3 linked regions of the Drosophila melanogaster genome follow. The protein of the gene in region 1 interacts with the protein of each later gene in a pairwise test. Each region holds a gene or a part of one and is shown on either strand. Other genes may lie near its edges.

Region 1 (5,157 bases):
TCCCTATGGTTGAGTCCGGCACTTGTGAAACTAATTGCCGTAGATTCCGACCAAATCCGTCCGGCATCTTGGCCACAATATGTTGGACAAATGGACAATTTTATGAATTAATTTGATGTCTCGGCTGATTCGCTTCTCGTTATTCGGAGACACAAGGAACAGCCGCAAAAAAAAACTTTTTGCATAATGGAGCGGAGAAAATGGGTTTTTGAACCGAAATGTACGGAATTTCACAGATGTCACATGTGCAGAACAAAGGTTCGAGACAAAGAATTCATTGCAGCTGAATGATTAATTTGAGCTCATGGAGCACATTGCTTTGATGATTATAACGACCATGTTGATGTCAAGTTAATCATTGACCTAACTTTTTATGTCCACCTTGGGCAATCTATTTTCATGACTTATAATGAATAATAAGCTTACCATAAAAGGACGATGTTTTTGTTTAATTAATTGGTGAATATAAACCAAGGAATTTTAACCCTTAAGAGTATTATACACTTAAACCACATTTTAAATTTAACTAACTTTATGCATTAAATTTAAACACTGGCAATGAAAAACCAGTCGCAGACAAACAGCATTTTATTTCAAAACAATTTCGAGACCTTTTATACAAATACTATGCATGTTTTGGACTCACAGAAGCCCGCACTGTTTTACATCCACAACCGGCAAAAAAAAACATTGCCCTTGGACTGCATTTTAATGTCCAACTTGTGGTTCAGTAAACAACTAAAACTCTCGTCTGTGAAAATAGCCCCTCTGGAGGCCATTATCCTGCTGCTGCTGCCACTGCTGGTGGAAAACTATTTTTAAAGAGTTAAAAGCGATTCAACGGAAATGGAATTTATAAAATTAACATAAGTTGAACCCAAACTGAAAATACAACTTTGAGTGGCCCTAGGAGAGGATATGGATGATTTCAGAATTATTGAAGTGAACAAACGAAGGCAAATCCAAAAATATCCTTGCACTGCAAAGGGCTAAGATGGAAAAATTCATAAAAATATGGCTGGGCCCGGGTATTATTTATTTTCATTTCTGCCGCGGGTCCTTTCCGTTTCCCTTTGTCCGGCTGTCTGTGTAATCGGCTAGAAGGACTTAGATAAAACACGAAATGGCCACAAAAAGGATCTTGTCGCTAAGAGCAACTACACCCATACACACTTCATGAATACACATGCAAACATCCTTCTGGATGAGAGTTCGATAACCGGATTCCGAACTGAACCCGGCGGCCTAAAGGCTTGCCAATGTTGGTCAAAACAACTGCACACGTCAGCAAATAAGAATAAATTTGTAAAAAATTACGGAACTATAAAAGCATGACGGAACTGTATAAGCCTGCTGCTATTAGTTAACCAGTTAAAACTAACAATAATAAAGCCACCTAATAAGCTACAATATATATGTATATATAGGAATTTGGGCAATATTACATTTCTTAAGACTATATTAGAGATGATGATACACTTCCAACAATTTTATATTATACATGGTCCACCAAAAACTGCCCAAATCGCACCATAGTTGAGAGTGGGTGAATCATATAGACGAACAGCATGGCCAGAACGGTGGCCTGCAGGACATATTCGGTGCGATCCGTATGCTCGAATCTTCGCTGGTGGATAACGGTGATGGTGAAGAGGATGAGACTAGCCACGTAGATCAGACTGACCATCGAGACGTATCGCATTATATAGCGATTGCCGTTTAGATACACAATCAAGTAGATCGAAACGACAATCGCTATGCAACAGAATGTGAGGACGATCATGAAGATGCTACCGGGCAGTATTTTCAGCGGCAGATAGACGCCCATCAAGTAGAGCATGACGTTCAGGGCCAGCACGAGTGACAGGACACCAGTCATCCAGAGCATCGATAGACGAGCCCACCGGTGGCAATTCACAAATATCACTATCACCTCCACGATGACAATGGCCAGCAGACCATTGCACGGACACTGGTTGGCCAGGTACACGTAGGCCATGATCAGCACACATCCCACGGCCAGGAGCAGCCACACGAAGCTGGGCACCGATGGGCTAATTAGCTCCCCGAAGTCCTTATTGCAGAGCCGCAGGACCACAAGCTGAATTACTGCACTTGCCGATAGAACCGCGTGGATCAAGTAGACCCAACCGAGGTGTTTCTTCCTCAGGTGCACAGAAGAGCGTTGGCGCAAAGGACCCGACGATGCGACCGGGCTCAGCAGGCCCGGGGATTCTCCATATGGTTTCGCAGGCTCATGCGGTGGTGGAGCAGGAGCGGGAACATGAGGTGGTGGCCTGGGTGGAGGTGTTGATCTTTGACCAGTCGGTTTGCGTAGACCCGTCGATGAACGTGGCGTGGGATTTGGCCTGCTCATCTTTCTGCGCGTTGATACCACCACCCCCGTTGTGGGAACCTGCTGGGTGCTATGAACATGTATATTAAATATGAATATATTTGATTAACAAGGCGGTGGGTGTACTGTGGGCAAAAAGTGTTATGTTACAATTTAGATCTACTGAAATAAACGATTGGAATTTTTCTACTGAAACTAATACAGTTAAATGATTGATACTTTTTAGTGTTGATATGTGATGGAATAACGAATCGATTGGATGTATAATTCTGTTAATGAAACCACTGCGCAGTATATGCATACTCATGCATATTAAATGGGAATTATGCTGGCCAGAACTGAAGTGCTAATCAATGACACGTGCTGCGTTGTCACTAGACTCATTAAGATGGCCCACCTTGCACCTGATGATGTGTTTACATATGTATTCAGCTCTGGCGAACTGTGTGCGCTGAGGGCCAACTTTTTGGGCCATTTTGTGGCTGAGGCTTTTACTGAATTTTAATTAGACTCTGCCGCTGAAAAGCCAGCACGTGCAGAAACATTGGCAAACACAGCCTAAAGCCAAACAACAAAGTCAGGAATTAAATAAACATGAGTCGGGCAAAAAACTTGCCTGGAGGAGAGGAAACCAAGTGGTGTCTTATTACCTAGCTTTCTTTAGAATATGTTATTGAGTCAGAGATTATCGCGCTTTGTTCGCCTGCTCTCTAATCCTCAATAATCGATGACAATATGCGTATTTATCTAAAACCGTGCTTACACAAATGTCAGCATCAGGAAATTTGGGCATTCTCGATATTATTACCCCAGTTTGCTGTCATAATAAGCTTTGGCATTAAAAATCCTACAAATGCCTATCAATCGGCCTGCCACTCAGAGCAACAATAACTTTTAAGAGATTTAAACTGACAGTGCCAATAGCCAGGAAAACCACAACACGAACAAATGGCAAATTACGGCAAAGTGCCGTAAGGAAGTCATAGTAAATCCAATTAGAAGGACAATCGGATTTTATTGACGCTCGAATGAGTTGAATTTAGCTGTGAACTGTACAACAGATTTATTGAAGCGGAAGAATTGAATTTATCCTTAGGCAAATACATTTAAGAATACATATGTGACAGCTATATAAATTAGTATCAATACGTACATTTCCCATTTCGATCTATTAATTTATGTTTTATTTATGCTTTCATTGAAAAACCAACCTTGTTAATGCCGCAGAAAATTGATGTAAAATGTAAATGTAATTTACTTATCCAACCAATTAAAACGTCCATCTGAGGTTGTCATGACAATGGCTCGAAATATGAAGTGCCATCAATAATGTCTGTTTGATTGATTGAACTGGCAGATCCTTGTGCATTTGAGCAACAATAATACTTAATAGATACTTGCATTCTATTAATAAGCACTAAGCATTCCCCCTATCTAATCAGGGGTGTCAGCTTACATTTGTCAAATCTTTAGCCTTGAAAGTTAATAATAGGGCTACGTATTAAGTATTCATGGGAAGGAAATTATTAGAGACATGTGAGCCGGGCAAGTGTGCTCAAAGAGGGTTAATTATTTAAAATCGTATTTCTAAATAAAGCAGGACATTTGCGGTAAATATAGAAACGAATGTTTAAGCCCTGTAAAGCACTTACCTACGGCAAAAATTTTAAATTTAAAACACCATTCGGTGGGGGAAGACATTAAATATGCCTTATGTGGCACGTACCTACATCAAAATCATACCGTGGCCCTCCAACCGTGCGACATGCAATTGAACAAATAAATCAGAGGGCTAATAAATATTTAGCAACGATGGTAGGAGCTGCCTAAGGCCGAGGCAAAAACCAAGACTTCCATAAATGCCGCCGACTGAGCCATTCAAGAAGCCAGATGAACGGAGCGAAGGACAAAGCACGATTTCAGGCGACAAAGCAGGGAGTTACATCTGGATGAGTTTCTGTAGCTGTTGCTATTGCCGGTTTTCCAGCTCTTTCAGATTTTCACGCCTCTCCTGTTCTTCCCTTCCCTTTTCGTGACTTTCTGGCTTAAATGCTGTTGCCTTCTGCACCACATTGCGTATACGTGATGTGCCACGACACGGGCTTCCACATTTAACAATATGATTAAAGGCAACTTTTAGCACCTGTTCTGGCTGTTGATTTCGTATCGAGTATTAATTGCAATTTATTTTGTATGCCAACACTCGAGACGACTCGCATGCAATTAAATTATTTACGCATGGGGGGCATGGCGCATTTAAATGCTTATTTATGCATATGTAACTGAAATTGTGTACTTAACGCATGTTAATCGCAAACGTTTGTTTAAGCAGTTATCCTTCGAAATTACTGTATAAGAACGGGAGTAAGGTGCATAGGAATCCGCCCCTTTAAATTTTTACATAATTAATAGACAATAAATTACTTTTAAACAAATGATGATGCAATATGAATGACATCATAGCTATAATTAATATATAAATTTCCTATGTAATGAATTTTTTCTCAAAGGAATAGCGAAACTCATTGTATTTTCACTTCTTCATTATGATTTTTTCAGTTTTCGTTTCCCTCTTAAGGTTTTCTTTAACTACGTCCAACATATTTTTTTTTTGTCCATATTAAGCCCTTTCCGAAGAACAAGAAGCAGCTGGGAATTGTCCTTGTCCTTTTCCAAGTAATTTCAAACCAGTTCTACATTCATAAGGACTGTGTGAATTGTACCAGGAACTTCTAGAACTATTATTTCCAATGTACAGAAAATAAAAAAATTTCCGGACATAGAAAATATTCAAGCTAAAA
Region 2 (5,948 bases), on another chromosome or scaffold:
TGTAAAACGTATTTCTATAGCCATGTACCCGGAGCAAAGAAAAAATTCCTTAAAAATTTCAAGCAGAATACCACACCGGAAAATTTGGGCTGCAACATCATTTTTGTTTGTTAGCGTTATTTCATTTAATTTATGAAACTGTATTTTTCTTTCTGTAAACCAAATTTACTGACTTGACTGAATTCGTTATTAATGTTATTAATATTATTATTGCTACGTGTATAGAAAGTGTAACTTGTAAATTGCATTGAAAACAACTGAATGTTTCTGAAAGTTGTCCCATTTGGTCGCAAAATATAGAGATAAAGTAAAACCAAACCTCTTTCGATTAGTACTGCTGCTGACGCCAATGATATGCTCAGATACTACACATATAAACTATAACTATTTAGCCCCCAAGTAATGAATATAAGGCCAACGTCCTTAAGCAGCGGAATTTGTAGTCGGTTCAAAGTCCAAAATAAGTTGAAGGAACGATTGGGCAGTGGAGAGCTGCCATGTGCCACCATGTGCAATTGATCTCAAAACGAAAAACGAAAAAGGAAAACAAAGAAATGTATTACAAGTTGAAGGCTTCATAGGTAGACATAAACAAAAACGGAGAACAATCAATAATTATTTTAAGATTCCATTCCATTTTCAATACCAACGAAATTCTTTGCTCACCTCCACCTAAAAACTGCACGTACACAAAATTTTTGCACACTTTTCTAGTCAATTTTTATGTTTTACAAAAATAACATGGTGTGTCTCCTCCCATTTCCCTCTGGACGAACACTCATCTGCCTTTGAGTGTCTGCAAATTCCGATGGCTTATTGATCGTTGCACTACTCAAACGAATTGTTACATTTAAATAAAAGAACTACAACGAATTGAGGGGAAGGGACAGGAGTGATCACAGATTGCAGAATGTAATGGGTAACACTCCACAACTATTTCATTGAGGAGCTGGTACTCCACAATTCCCGAACCCAAATCCCATACCCTAAAAATTATATTATAACCATCCAATATAACCCAGGTAACCTGCAATCAGTGAAAGGTGCAGCAGTGAAAAGCAAACTAAATATGAATAGGTTTTAAACAAACTCTGTGTGTTGTTGTTACTATGATTCAATGTATATGTGTACGCACGCAGCATTATATAAACGAACTACATTATATACCCAACTACAAAACAAGTTGAACAAGTTGATCCATGCAATGCAAATCTGTTTGTTATTTGTTTCTGACTGTGAATCGTGTTGAAACAATAAGTTTTACTATATTTGGTTGACTAATGCTTACACGCTGATGATATGAATTGTTGATAGACTTTAAGACGCGGAAAGATGGACGACGATTGTTTGTGGCATTGACGCGGCAGTGGTCCTCGCTGGGATCGTAGAGATTCCGCCGGACAACGCCAGCATGGACAGTATTGGTGAAGCAAAAACAAACACAATCTTTTGTACATAAATTGTTTTCTATCTGAATTGTTCTCAATGTGTAGTTTATATACAATATCTTGATAAATATCCATATATTTATATTTGAATGTTATTTATGTGTAGCCCAGAAGTGTTATGAATATAATCCGCAGCTAAACCCATTAAGATAATAAGCAAAGATGTTATCTGTTTGCCTACATAAAATAATTTATGCTATAAACTGGAAATAAATGTAAAACTAGAATTGTTTGACGATCAAGAAATCAATGGACTAGATATTGAAACAGAAATTGTGTGTATCGATTTGAAAGTGTTATTTTAATTTATTTTATGAATATTTTGTAATTAATGATCCTAATTGCAATACACACATACACATACTTACATACACACGCTAGTAGAGTAGGAAACGAGTAAATTTTATTCAATAAATTATATTAAATCAAACAAGTATAATTATATAAATATATATGTATGTTAAATCATTTTAGTGGATGTATAAAAACAATGGAAAGAAAATCAAATAAAATAAAAATTAAAAAATATTTGCTTCTATTTCATTCTTCTAGGGGCTTTAAGTTAAATTTATTACATATTCAGTAGGCTTTTTATAACTTAAGCCATTTGCCTTAGAAAATTAAGAATATAAGGATAAACTTTGGGTCGTTCTTGTTCTGCGCCCTTTGCATGAGTATAAGAAGTCATGTTAGTTAGTCGACCAAGAAAACAACAATCTTTTATACAATACTGGAGTATATTACTTTTAATAGGAAACATTGAAATACGACCGCCGCCGTTCCACGCGACTCATCTTCCTTAGGTCGCCAGTAGGACAAGCAGTCCGAGTATCGAAAGGGCAATGACCAAGGGTAGTGTGGATAATCCAGCGGCTGCGTTGCACAAATCCGTATCGCACAGTGTGCAGCCGAGGAAGTTCATAAAGGGCACCACAGGATCTGGTCCATCGTCGCAACTGACGCCTATTGGGGAGGCATCGCCAAAGTAACAGGAGCGCCTCACGAAGCGCGTGTCTCCTGGCACTGCGAAAAGTGAGTCATTTTATAAGGGATTTCCTTGACATATTTTCCAGAAACCATACTCGTATACTCACTTCCCTCATGGTACTTGGTAAGGCAAGTGGCCTCCGCTCCCAGGGATCGCATGTTCGCCACCACATCGCAATCCGTCGTGGATATGTCATCGCCCACAAATCGCTCCCCACACCCTGGATTATTGACGGAATCACATTCGTAGCAGGTAATGGCACGGGCTGATGACGACATCCGTAAAAATGTGTGTCCACGAGAGTGCACAGAAAGGAAAACAATGGATGAGCATTTTGGTAGACCTTATCTTTATCTTAAAGTAAACAATTAGCTTTAAAACCATTCTTAATGTTCCAAAACGTTAATTTCTTTTCAGATGTAAGTTAATTAAAATTTGTAATATAATTCTTGAACTTTTTAGACTCTATACGTAAACAATGAAATAAACAAAGAAAGCTGTTTATATGTTTTTCTTTACTGAACAGTTTCCCGCAAAACAGTCGGTAAAACCCTAAATTCACTGATTCGCAATAAATCGTGTTGACAGTCTTCTGCTTCTGAGATATTTCAAAATATGAACTACAATTTCGGGGCAGGAATGTGATGAGTGGCGGGCGCGAATCGAGAATCTCACCTGAGCTGGCCAGCGTGACGAGCAGAAAGAGCGAGGCAAGCGCTGCCATCATCGCCATCGTACCGCCCCCGAAAACAGTTGATTCCACTGTCGTCCGGCGGTCGCGGTGAGTCAGTATGGCTATAGCTATAGCTTGGCGATGCCGATACGTGCGCGAATACAGATGTTGTCTTCTCGGTTGCCGGACCGATTTTAATCACATGATAGATGCGCTATATAGCCACAAGCCGCCGACCAACGACCACCGACCACCGACCACCGACCACCGACTCGAAGCGATGCACACACGCGACTGAACTAAACAGAAACTGAACTGAACGTGCGAACAATCGCATTCAGAATGTGAATTTGATTTTCATAACAGATTTTTTCACATTTTCACTTCTCCATCGTTGGCTTTTCCCTGGCCAATGCGTGTTGACATCGTGCTCTGCCTTGCCCTACCCTGCCCTGCCATTCCCTTTGCCCTTTCCTCGCCAATCCATTTATTTCAGGCAAGGTTCATTAGTGGCATTTGAACAAATAAACAATTTGGCATTCTGTGTAAAATTAGTTTTTATTAGTTTGTATTTGGATCGTTCGAAATTTGTTTGCCAGCTTTTCGGCTCATTTCGGTGTGCTGATGTTGCTCATACGCCATGTTCGGCGTTGATTAGCCATTAATACAGTGGGCCGGGCAGATTTGGCTAAACGGTTTTGTGGATGGTGTGCTCTACTAATGTGGGCTTTACTAATTGATAGTCCTGGGCCTTGGGAATACATCTAAATTGAACTAGGTTTACTTAAGCTACTGTGCCTTTTAATGTTCATTTCACGCTCCACATTTCCACATTTCCACTTCGTCTCCTGTCGCCTCAGAGTAGTTGAGTTGCCAAGAGAAACAAGACCAGACTGCCGAAGATTTTCCATTTATCCACTGGATGATTTTCCGATCCGTTGCAGTAGTTCTCGCTGTCGCACACATGACAACTTGAGTTCTGCACCGCCGACAGGGTGGGGTCCATTTTGCACCACACATCGGTGGCATTTACCTCGCCGAAGTAGCAGCCTCTGACGATCTTACGCACGCCGTTTTCTGCAGAGGCAAAACATTGGGTTAGTCTACTTTCGGGCTGACTTATCGTAAATAAACACATTTTTTATTGTCCGTCTTTAATGGGCTTATACGAAATGTGTACGTATTGTCCAAAATATCAAGAGATTGTTGGAAAGTCTACGAGATTCTTCTGAAATAAGGTCACAGCTGTCCGTATATGCACGTATGTCTATGAATGTATGTATGACTGTTTCACATAATTAATTTTATTTGTTTTGATTTGCGTCACAAATCATTAAAGAAATTATTATCTGAAGAGTAAATACAAATCTCGGACGGACAACATTGCGAATGTTTAATGAGTATACAGACATTTACCTTTCGGAACACACTTTTTTTGTCCGCTGCTAATCGGACTGTATTTGTAATTAATGAACAATTACTTTAAAAAAATATCTGGTGGATAGATACATTTTTGGTGAATTACGATATATCCACTTTTTAATCTTATATTTCAAACTTTCTTTTCTTTTTACTATACCTATTGATTCATAACTATTAAAGTTACTATCCTAGCAAGGCTTCAAATCCGTAGGAACGTGTTTTGAGAAACATATTCGTTTAAACTCACCCTTGAATACCCGTTTCAAACAGGCCGTGGCATTCACGCTGAGCAGATCGTTCTCCAGGAATCGCGGAGGAGCAATGAAGGCGCAGTCGTATTTAAAATGGTTCTCGACTTCGAAGTCGTCGCCGCAACTAGCCTCGTAGACGGATTCGCAGGCATAGCACTTGATGGCGTAAGCTAGTGGCATTGGGATGGGAAGACCAGAGACGCGTCTTATTTATGGCAGAAATGAGATCAGGCGGGGACAGCCGACAGGTCGCGGCAAACGCAGAACTCGCAAAGCAAAGTACAAATTCGAAAGAAACAAGTCCAAACAGAACAAAAACAAACCTGAGGCCAGTAGCGAGATGAGCGCGCCAAACAAAAGTAAATAATGCTGCATTGTTGATGGGAGGAAAATCGGTTTGCCACCTTTCTCGCTGGTGATTGGAATTTGTTGTATTTGATGGTTTTATGGAAAATAATTCAAGTGGCGGGCTTATTTATAGCTCTGCTCGGCGCAATTGAAACGATCCGCACGAGGTTTGAACATACAAAACTGTATGTTTTGTATAAGCAAATATAGTATATATTTTGAATATAAATAAATGTGTGTTTTCAACTATATAAATGACTTTTATTTTATATTTATTTGGGTCTCAGCACGTAGGAAATAAAAATGTAAACACGCGTTGCCAATTTTCCCTCAGTTTTGTTTTTTGATTTTCCCCGATTTCCCGGCTAAATTCTTGGAGCCGTCTGTCAGTCGACGTCCGCACACGAAATCGAACTAAAAGAATGCCAAAAGCATTTTCCAAATTCAACTCCTTGCCGTTTTTCTCTTTTCCGTTTATCGCTCTCTTTTTTCTGTGGTGAAAACATTTTATGGCCATTTCGCCTGGCGTCATCGCTCAGCGTTTTAATTTGTCTAAATTTAATGAACATTTAGCGGGTGGAGACTTGACGCGCCGAACTTATAGCGACCCTGTGGGAAATGGAAATGGAAAAGGAAAACTGGGAGTGTATGGTCGAAGCGAGTAAAATCACAGAGAGAACTTTTCCGCTTTTCCGTCTGTTCGTATAATCGTCAGCCCAGCATATAGAGAGCCCTGCAGAAGAGACGTAGATTGGATGGGGCCAGTTCTTGAAGTGTGCCAGACACGCATGGATTTTCTGCTTGCCCAACTGGAAGGC
Region 3 (6,583 bases), on another chromosome or scaffold:
CATAGCTGACCTTTGCAGGGAGGGTCCTGCATCTTTGTGCTCCAGTTCAACGGCATCGCTTCACTCGATTAGGCTAAATACTCCACGGAGTCCGAGTGCGAGTCCCACGTATCCCGCATTCTTAATCCCCTCCAGCTTCCTCCGCCTCCTGGCAGTGTGGTGGCAACAATCGTGAACCTTTGCTAATTGCTTTATTCGTCCCAATGGAGATGTTTCGTCAACATCAGCACGTTGCAGTCGTCTTGCTTTTGCCTGATTTAGCTGCTTCTTGATTATTTTATGACTGCGGCAAAGCACTGGATGTTCGTGCGTGTGTGTCGTGTGTGGCCTGTGTGTCCTGTATGCTTGGTGTGCCTGTGTATGTGTTTGGCCTGCCAATGGCCAGTTTTGAGGTCTCTCTCTTACTCTCTGTTTTTCTTCACTTTACATTTACATTCTTTCGAAATGTGTGTAGAAAAACGAATGCTGGACGGACAGTTTTGTTTGTCTTTTTCACTTTTTTGCTTTGGTTGGCTATTCCTAGCACTCTTCCTCTCTCTCCAGCATGCTCTTTCCTTCTCTTCTTCTCCTTTCTATCCTTGCCACGTGCAGTTCACAAAGGCTGTAAGAGAGTGTGAGTGCGTTTTAAAATACCGTTAGGCCGCGCTTTGCCGTTAATTCGTGTATATTTTTAAAGCACACAAAGGTGACGACGGCTATATTTATGTAACCCCGAGTGTTACGAAACGGAAACACGCGGCACGGCACCAATGAGCTCAACTCGCACTCGTCGTGTTTAAATAATAAAACTCCTTCGATGCATTTGCGGGGTAACGAGGGGGTCAGAGGGGCGGAAGGGGAATGGGGGAGACAGAGTGGAGCCACATGTAATTTTCAATTCATTTGGCACGCTTTCACTCACACACATACCAACTCACACGAACTGGAAACAGACTGTGCACATGCAAGTAGGCTCTCCCCCTCCCACTTACCCACACACACACACATTGACACACAGAGTCTTAGGAAGGGGAGGGGGGCTGTAAAAGAGAAAGAGAGGGGCAGAGTGCCAGCTCCAATCGAAATTATGCGGCAAAGGACCTCCCAAAGGAGTGAGTGAGTGGGCAAGAGCAGAGCCAACTTCTTGTGCCTAGCACGAAACGATTTTTTAGGAGGCACCATATAAAAAGATTTATAAGAACCACCTTGCTGGGAACCTGCCCCCACCTTCTCTTGGAGATCAATTAAATGTAGTTGAGTTACAATTTTCAGGTATTTCGGTTGGGGCCTCTCCACTTCTAAGCCTCCCTCCCCCCACACCTCTTTCCAGTTCTTGTGACGTAGAGTTGCGTGCTCCCGTTTGTGAGCTGGTATGTGTTTGTAAGTGTCCGAGTTGCGCTTGTGTGTGTTTACTCAAGGTTCAGGTTACGCGGTGAACACGATGACAACGGAACGAGGATTACGCATTTTCAATCACAAATCACCAGCACACATTTGCTGTTCTTTGGGCTACCACTGTTTACCATGGAACAATGGTGACCTGATTGCGCACGGGGTCAAAAGTTGCTAACGCTGAACAATTGTCACATTCACGCTCCACATTTTCTTTCGTGGCATTTTCGGTTCCTCTTGCCTTTCTTTAGTGGCAACAATACAGAGACAGACAAACCAACGACAACTACGACGGCGAACGACAACGACGACGGCGACAACCAAAAAAGGAGCACGGCGACAACACGACGGCTGAACTCTTCAGCGAAAGGACTGCCTGCCACTGGCAACGCTGCAGCGGAATTAAGGGCCCACGTCTAAGTGGAGCTTCGGAGCGGAGCTTTCTCCTGCACTGCCAACAAGCTCCAGTCCAGCGTTGCCCATTTGGCTAATAACTTGCTAGATAACTAGCTTTGATAACGGTTAGCTTTCACGTTTAAAAGGACAATTCTTATTGCATACGGAAAAGGAGTAAGGTTAATTTTCTACAACTCCGTAAGAAATGGCCAAAAATCATGAAAAAAATGAAAATAGTATAAACCGTAAATGAACATTTGGCAATAAGTGCTTAAGAACTTTTAGCTAAAATAATAACTTTTGTTGGACTTTTCACTTCTCAGCATCACTGGCTAAAGCTCTCTCTCCCTTCCTTTCTCCAGCTGGGAGCAACAGCGGCCAGCGATGACGTAAAGCCAGTCGGCGCAGGCGCCCGGCGATCCCCGCCAGAAAGAGAGGGCTCCGATGGGCGAAAGCTGAGCCACTCAGAAGTGGCATAAACAGCAGGGAAACGTAACGAGTTCTCCTGTTTGGAATTTTCTCGGCTCGCCCAGCCACGGGGAAATGGTGGAAAAGTGCAGAAACGCAGCAATTGTGGCACTTGCTTAGCTAAGGATCAAAAAGAAGGTCCAATAAACCGTAGAGTTCCGTCAAAGAGTGAGCCATGTGCGGGTTATGAAACGATTTTGATGGCACACTGTGTGCAACTGTGACTGTGACTGCGATTGCTGCAAGTGTATTGGTGTGGTTAACCAGCCCCCACGACCACCAACCCCTTTCCCCACGTGTGTGCGTGCCCCAGTAGCAGGAACGTAAATAAACCTCAACACTCGGAGCTAAAACATCCTTAATTTACATGTGAGTACTGACCGAGAAATTCAAAATGGTAATCGAATGTAGGATCCTTCGATGACCCTCAAAATCATTGCCTACTTATAAGCGCACTTTCCATTGATTGGCATGCAACTAGAATTTCTCCCTGCGGCCATTGATTATTCCATTTGGTCCGTGATAAAACCAAAGCGGAGCATGTTCAGTGGTTTTGTTAGTAGAAGAGCCATTGCAGCCAATCTTGTGATACTATGTAACCACCATGCCACGAATCCTATATGTGTAATTCAATCCAATCCCCCAAACACTTATGAAATGCGTCATTCTTAGATCCCGTCATTCACTATTAGCCATAAATATTTAATAGGCTTGTGGTGGAATCACCAAACCTAGGTATGGATTTACCTAGATATAGATTTATGGTAAATTAAATCTAAAAACAACTAGATATAGTCGTGAATATTAGAAAAGGTCAGCCCATAACCATTACATATTTTAAAAATAGCTAGACAATTACATTTTTTTTAAATAGACGGATATATAGATATCCTTAGATAAGCGTTGAGACTTAAAAAATGTATAATTAAAGTGGATTTATAAAATTTACCTAAGCCCTGTAATTTTATTAAATAGCGAAAATTATTTAAATTATTTTGAAATGATTTTTCTATGTATTTCTATGATTTATGTCAAATTCGAGATCCATTAAAAACAGTTTGTTAACAATAATTAATTCAAGTAATAAAATTAAGCCGCGAAACCAACTGTTGACCAGTGTTGAAAGTGATTCAGTGTGTTAGTGTTGGGCAACAGGCGCCGTGTGAGGATTTTGGTGAGACGCGTTAGTAGATTTCCGCCAACACAGATGATTGATTAAAAAAGAATTTAATTTGACGTAAATAAAGGAAAGTGGAGAAAATAAGCAACAATCATGGAAGTTTTCCTAACAATCGTCTTCTTCACCATCTTCTGGGCGGCGGTGGCCAAGTACGGACCCATTCTGTTCACCAAGCAACCGCACGATGACCTGGTGCGCTGCATTTTCCTTCTGACCGCCGTCGTCTGCTGGCTTTTCTGGCTGTGCTGCTATTTGGCGCAACTGAATCCACTGCTGGGGCCGAAACTCAATGGAAACACCATTCGGATCATTGCCTCGTCCTGGGGAAATCCCATCAAGGAGGGATAAGGAAAGCCCACATAGGAATCTCCCACCTAGCTAATCTTTGGCGGTTGCTTCTTCCGCGTATTTCCGGATCTTAAGCCACATCACACACAGTCGGTGAAACCACGGAAGCAGTGGCTTCGCCAAACCCTTTTTGTACTTCAATACTGGCAGCAAGTGGACAAGGTTGGGCTACGGCTATCCAAGCCCCAGATACGCCCCACTATTTCCAAACTAACCACATTAACCTCTGGACGTAAACTTTCACTGTACATTTTGTTGTTGCTTATAGCTCAATATCTCTGATCACCATATTCTTTATGTTTACTGCAAAACATAAGCCATGTATTCCACCCAAAAATCCAATTATTGCAATTTAATTCTCAACAAACTTGCCACATGAGCGATTTTTGTAGTCAGATTATTATTTACCTATTTTTCCGTAGTGTAGATAATTTACTAATCAGTCATTGTATTTGTGATTTAGCTATTGGCAAATATAGAACAATTTTTTCGTATTATTTTCCTATTCGTGTTTATTTATTATTAGTTTTTAGTATTTACATTGAAAACCAAAAATGTCTAGCAATGTATATTTATAAGTTTACGCCCCATTTAGCTTTTCCCGAAATCTATAGTTCATATATTAGCTTAAATATTATGTTTCTCTTAATTTATATTTGTTTTTCAGAATTCTTTTTTCCCATTATATAGTTTAGTTTGTTTAGTATGAAAATGTTTCATTTCGGAAGTGCAATTTATGTTATTTTTAGAACAATGCATCCGAATAGGGTTATTGTATTTTCGCCTTAATGTGGAAGGGGGCGTGCCCGGTGGTTGACCATAACTGGAGCAAAAACACAAAGTCCCCGCACATGGCGCACTCGGTGCACTTGCACTCTTGGCCATGTGGAGGCCGACTTAATCAATGGAAACGCTGGCAGGGAATGGGAATGGCCCGAGCGGAGCCAACTTGGCGGTTGTGGGCAGGGAAACGAGAGAGCGGGGTATTCGAGGAGCAGCAGGGGAGCGGGGTGTCCTGCTCTTTTCAGCAATATGTGAATGCGGAACTATTGATTTTGCAATAAAAGTGCGCGCGCAGAGCCGAGATTTATGCCAAAAGCGGAGAGTAGCGAATTCCACGAGACCCGCCACGATGTGTGCCATGTTGTCGGCGGTCAGTGAGGAGAAGCCGGAGAGCTGGAGCACTACTAGAGAGCTGTGAAATCCGGAGACCCAGAGCCGAGCCGAATGCAGTCGCCAGTGCGGAGCAGAAAGCCTTGGGTCACGAGCCACCAGCTGCCAGTAACTCGAAGGGAAAAAATAATTACCACAGAACAGCACTGCTCGAGAATTAAGAAATAATTGTACATAAATTATAAATCCCAATAATAGCCAGATAATTGTAAAAAGAAGCGGAATTCCTGGAACTGTGTGAATTCTATCTCCAAATCGACAGGAAAATCAACTGGCACGTGATGCAACCAACGCGTATGGATGGGCCCAGTGATTAAAGTGAATTTCTGTGGGGTCAGCTAGCCAAAAATCGATAGGTTTGTGGCCTATCCAAGGAACGTGTCCTCCAGCTGGAAACGTGCGCAGCCTGCAGAGTAACCAGTTTTCCCTTTTTTTGTGGACCCATTGAAAAGTCGGTGGAAAATCTCAACCTACGCAGGGTTATATAACCGCACAACATACAAAACCGCCCACGCAGCTTTGCAGCTAAATCGATAGACTAAAAACCGACATGACGAGCTTCTAATTGGATTGGATTGCACGCGAGGGATTAACCAGCACAGGGATTAACCAGAGGAGGCACCAGTGACCACCACCCACTTGCTACTTGGAATTACAGGGTAGTCGCGCGTTAAAAAATGGGCAAGAAAAAGGTGCCCGTTGAGGACCTGGTGGTTCCACCGCAGGACACGCGAATATGCGGCACCATATGCATCTGCCAGATGACCCTGGTGCTCAGCTCGGTGGCTCTCGTCTACCTCACGGTGGCCATATATATGCCCTCAACCAGGGCCTTCAAAAGTGGCATCGATCCCACGCCGGTGATGTGCACCACCACGCGGGCGGTGAACAAGGACAACTGCGAGTGGGGCAGTTGTGGCGAGTGGTGTCTGAGCAAGACTTCCGGAGCCTGCATCCAGATCTATGTGAATCTGCGCAGCAATGGCAGCAATCTCATATTCCAGAACTGCACCAACTCGGCCAATAAAACGTGCTACGGGATCGACCAGGATCGCGCGGACAAGGCCAGGTGCATCAATGATGAGTGCAAGAATCTCACGGGCACCTTCAATTGCACCGCTGGCCAGTGTCTGAACATCACGGATGCCTTCGAGTGCATCTTCCACAACAGTGATGCACCAGTCAAGTGTTCCGGCAGGCGGGGAAAGATCAACTGCATGGACATCAGCGGGCTGTACTCCTGCAGTCGAGGAACGTGCCGGAAGATCCGTACTCCCTATAACTGTGACCGAAGGTGCGTGGACATCCCAACACGGAACAAGAACGTGGTGGTCCTCAGCGGGGACAAGGTCTACCTGTCGCAGTGCCAGAATGCCATCAATGCCGAAACTCTGGAGGAGGTGTGGAACGAGTCAAGCGAAAATGTAGCAATGACATCGTGTTACTTCATCAGGCACACCTCGGACCAGGTGGATGCGGTGGACTGCATCAATGGCTCCACGCTGGAGACCAATATGCTCAGCGATCTGACCAACTTCACATATCTGAGCCACCTGCACGTGTCGGTGGCCACTCCAGTGCCGGAAATAGCACCACCCGATGTGGACCTCACCATTTCCAACGAGTCCAAGCTGATGATCAATCTGG

What was found. The genes of interacting proteins can lie anywhere in the genome.
Region 2: the proteins of CG4073 (region 1) and CG14401 interact in a two-hybrid assay, tested with the Drosophila melanogaster proteins (one large-scale study listed by BioGRID).
Region 3: the proteins of CG4073 (region 1) and Teh2 interact in a two-hybrid assay, tested with the Drosophila melanogaster proteins (one large-scale study listed by BioGRID).

Annotation. Positions count from the first base shown.
Region 1 is NT_033777.3:10,712,151-10,717,307, reverse strand, and holds CG4073 (uncharacterized protein), read right to left. Parts: upstream 2,511-5,157; 5' UTR 2,378-2,510; coding exon 1,496-2,377; 3' UTR 1,407-1,495; downstream 1-1,406.
Region 2 is NT_033779.5:20,867,355-20,873,302, reverse strand, and holds CG14401 (uncharacterized protein), read right to left. Parts: upstream 3,450-5,948; 5' UTR 3,170-3,449; coding exon 2,956-3,169; intron 2,702-2,955; coding exon 2,543-2,701; coding exon of another isoform or gene 2,531-2,542; intron 2,472-2,530; coding exon 2,248-2,471; 3' UTR 1,831-2,247; downstream 1-1,830. Other genes in the region: CG31675 (uncharacterized protein), read right to left, coding at 3,966-4,186, 4,779-4,952, 5,106-5,157.
Region 3 is NT_037436.4:4,183,694-4,190,276, reverse strand, and holds the start of Teh2 (tipE homolog 2), read left to right. Parts: upstream 1-2,253; 5' UTR 2,254-2,604; intron 2,605-3,411; exon of another isoform or gene 3,412-3,508; coding exon of another isoform or gene 3,509-3,763; exon of another isoform or gene 3,764-4,259; intron 4,260-5,613; coding exon of another isoform or gene 5,614-6,583. Other genes in the region: VhaM9.7-c (vacuolar H[+] ATPase M9.7 subunit c), read left to right, coding at 3,509-3,763; Teh3 (tipE homolog 3), read left to right, coding at 5,614-6,583.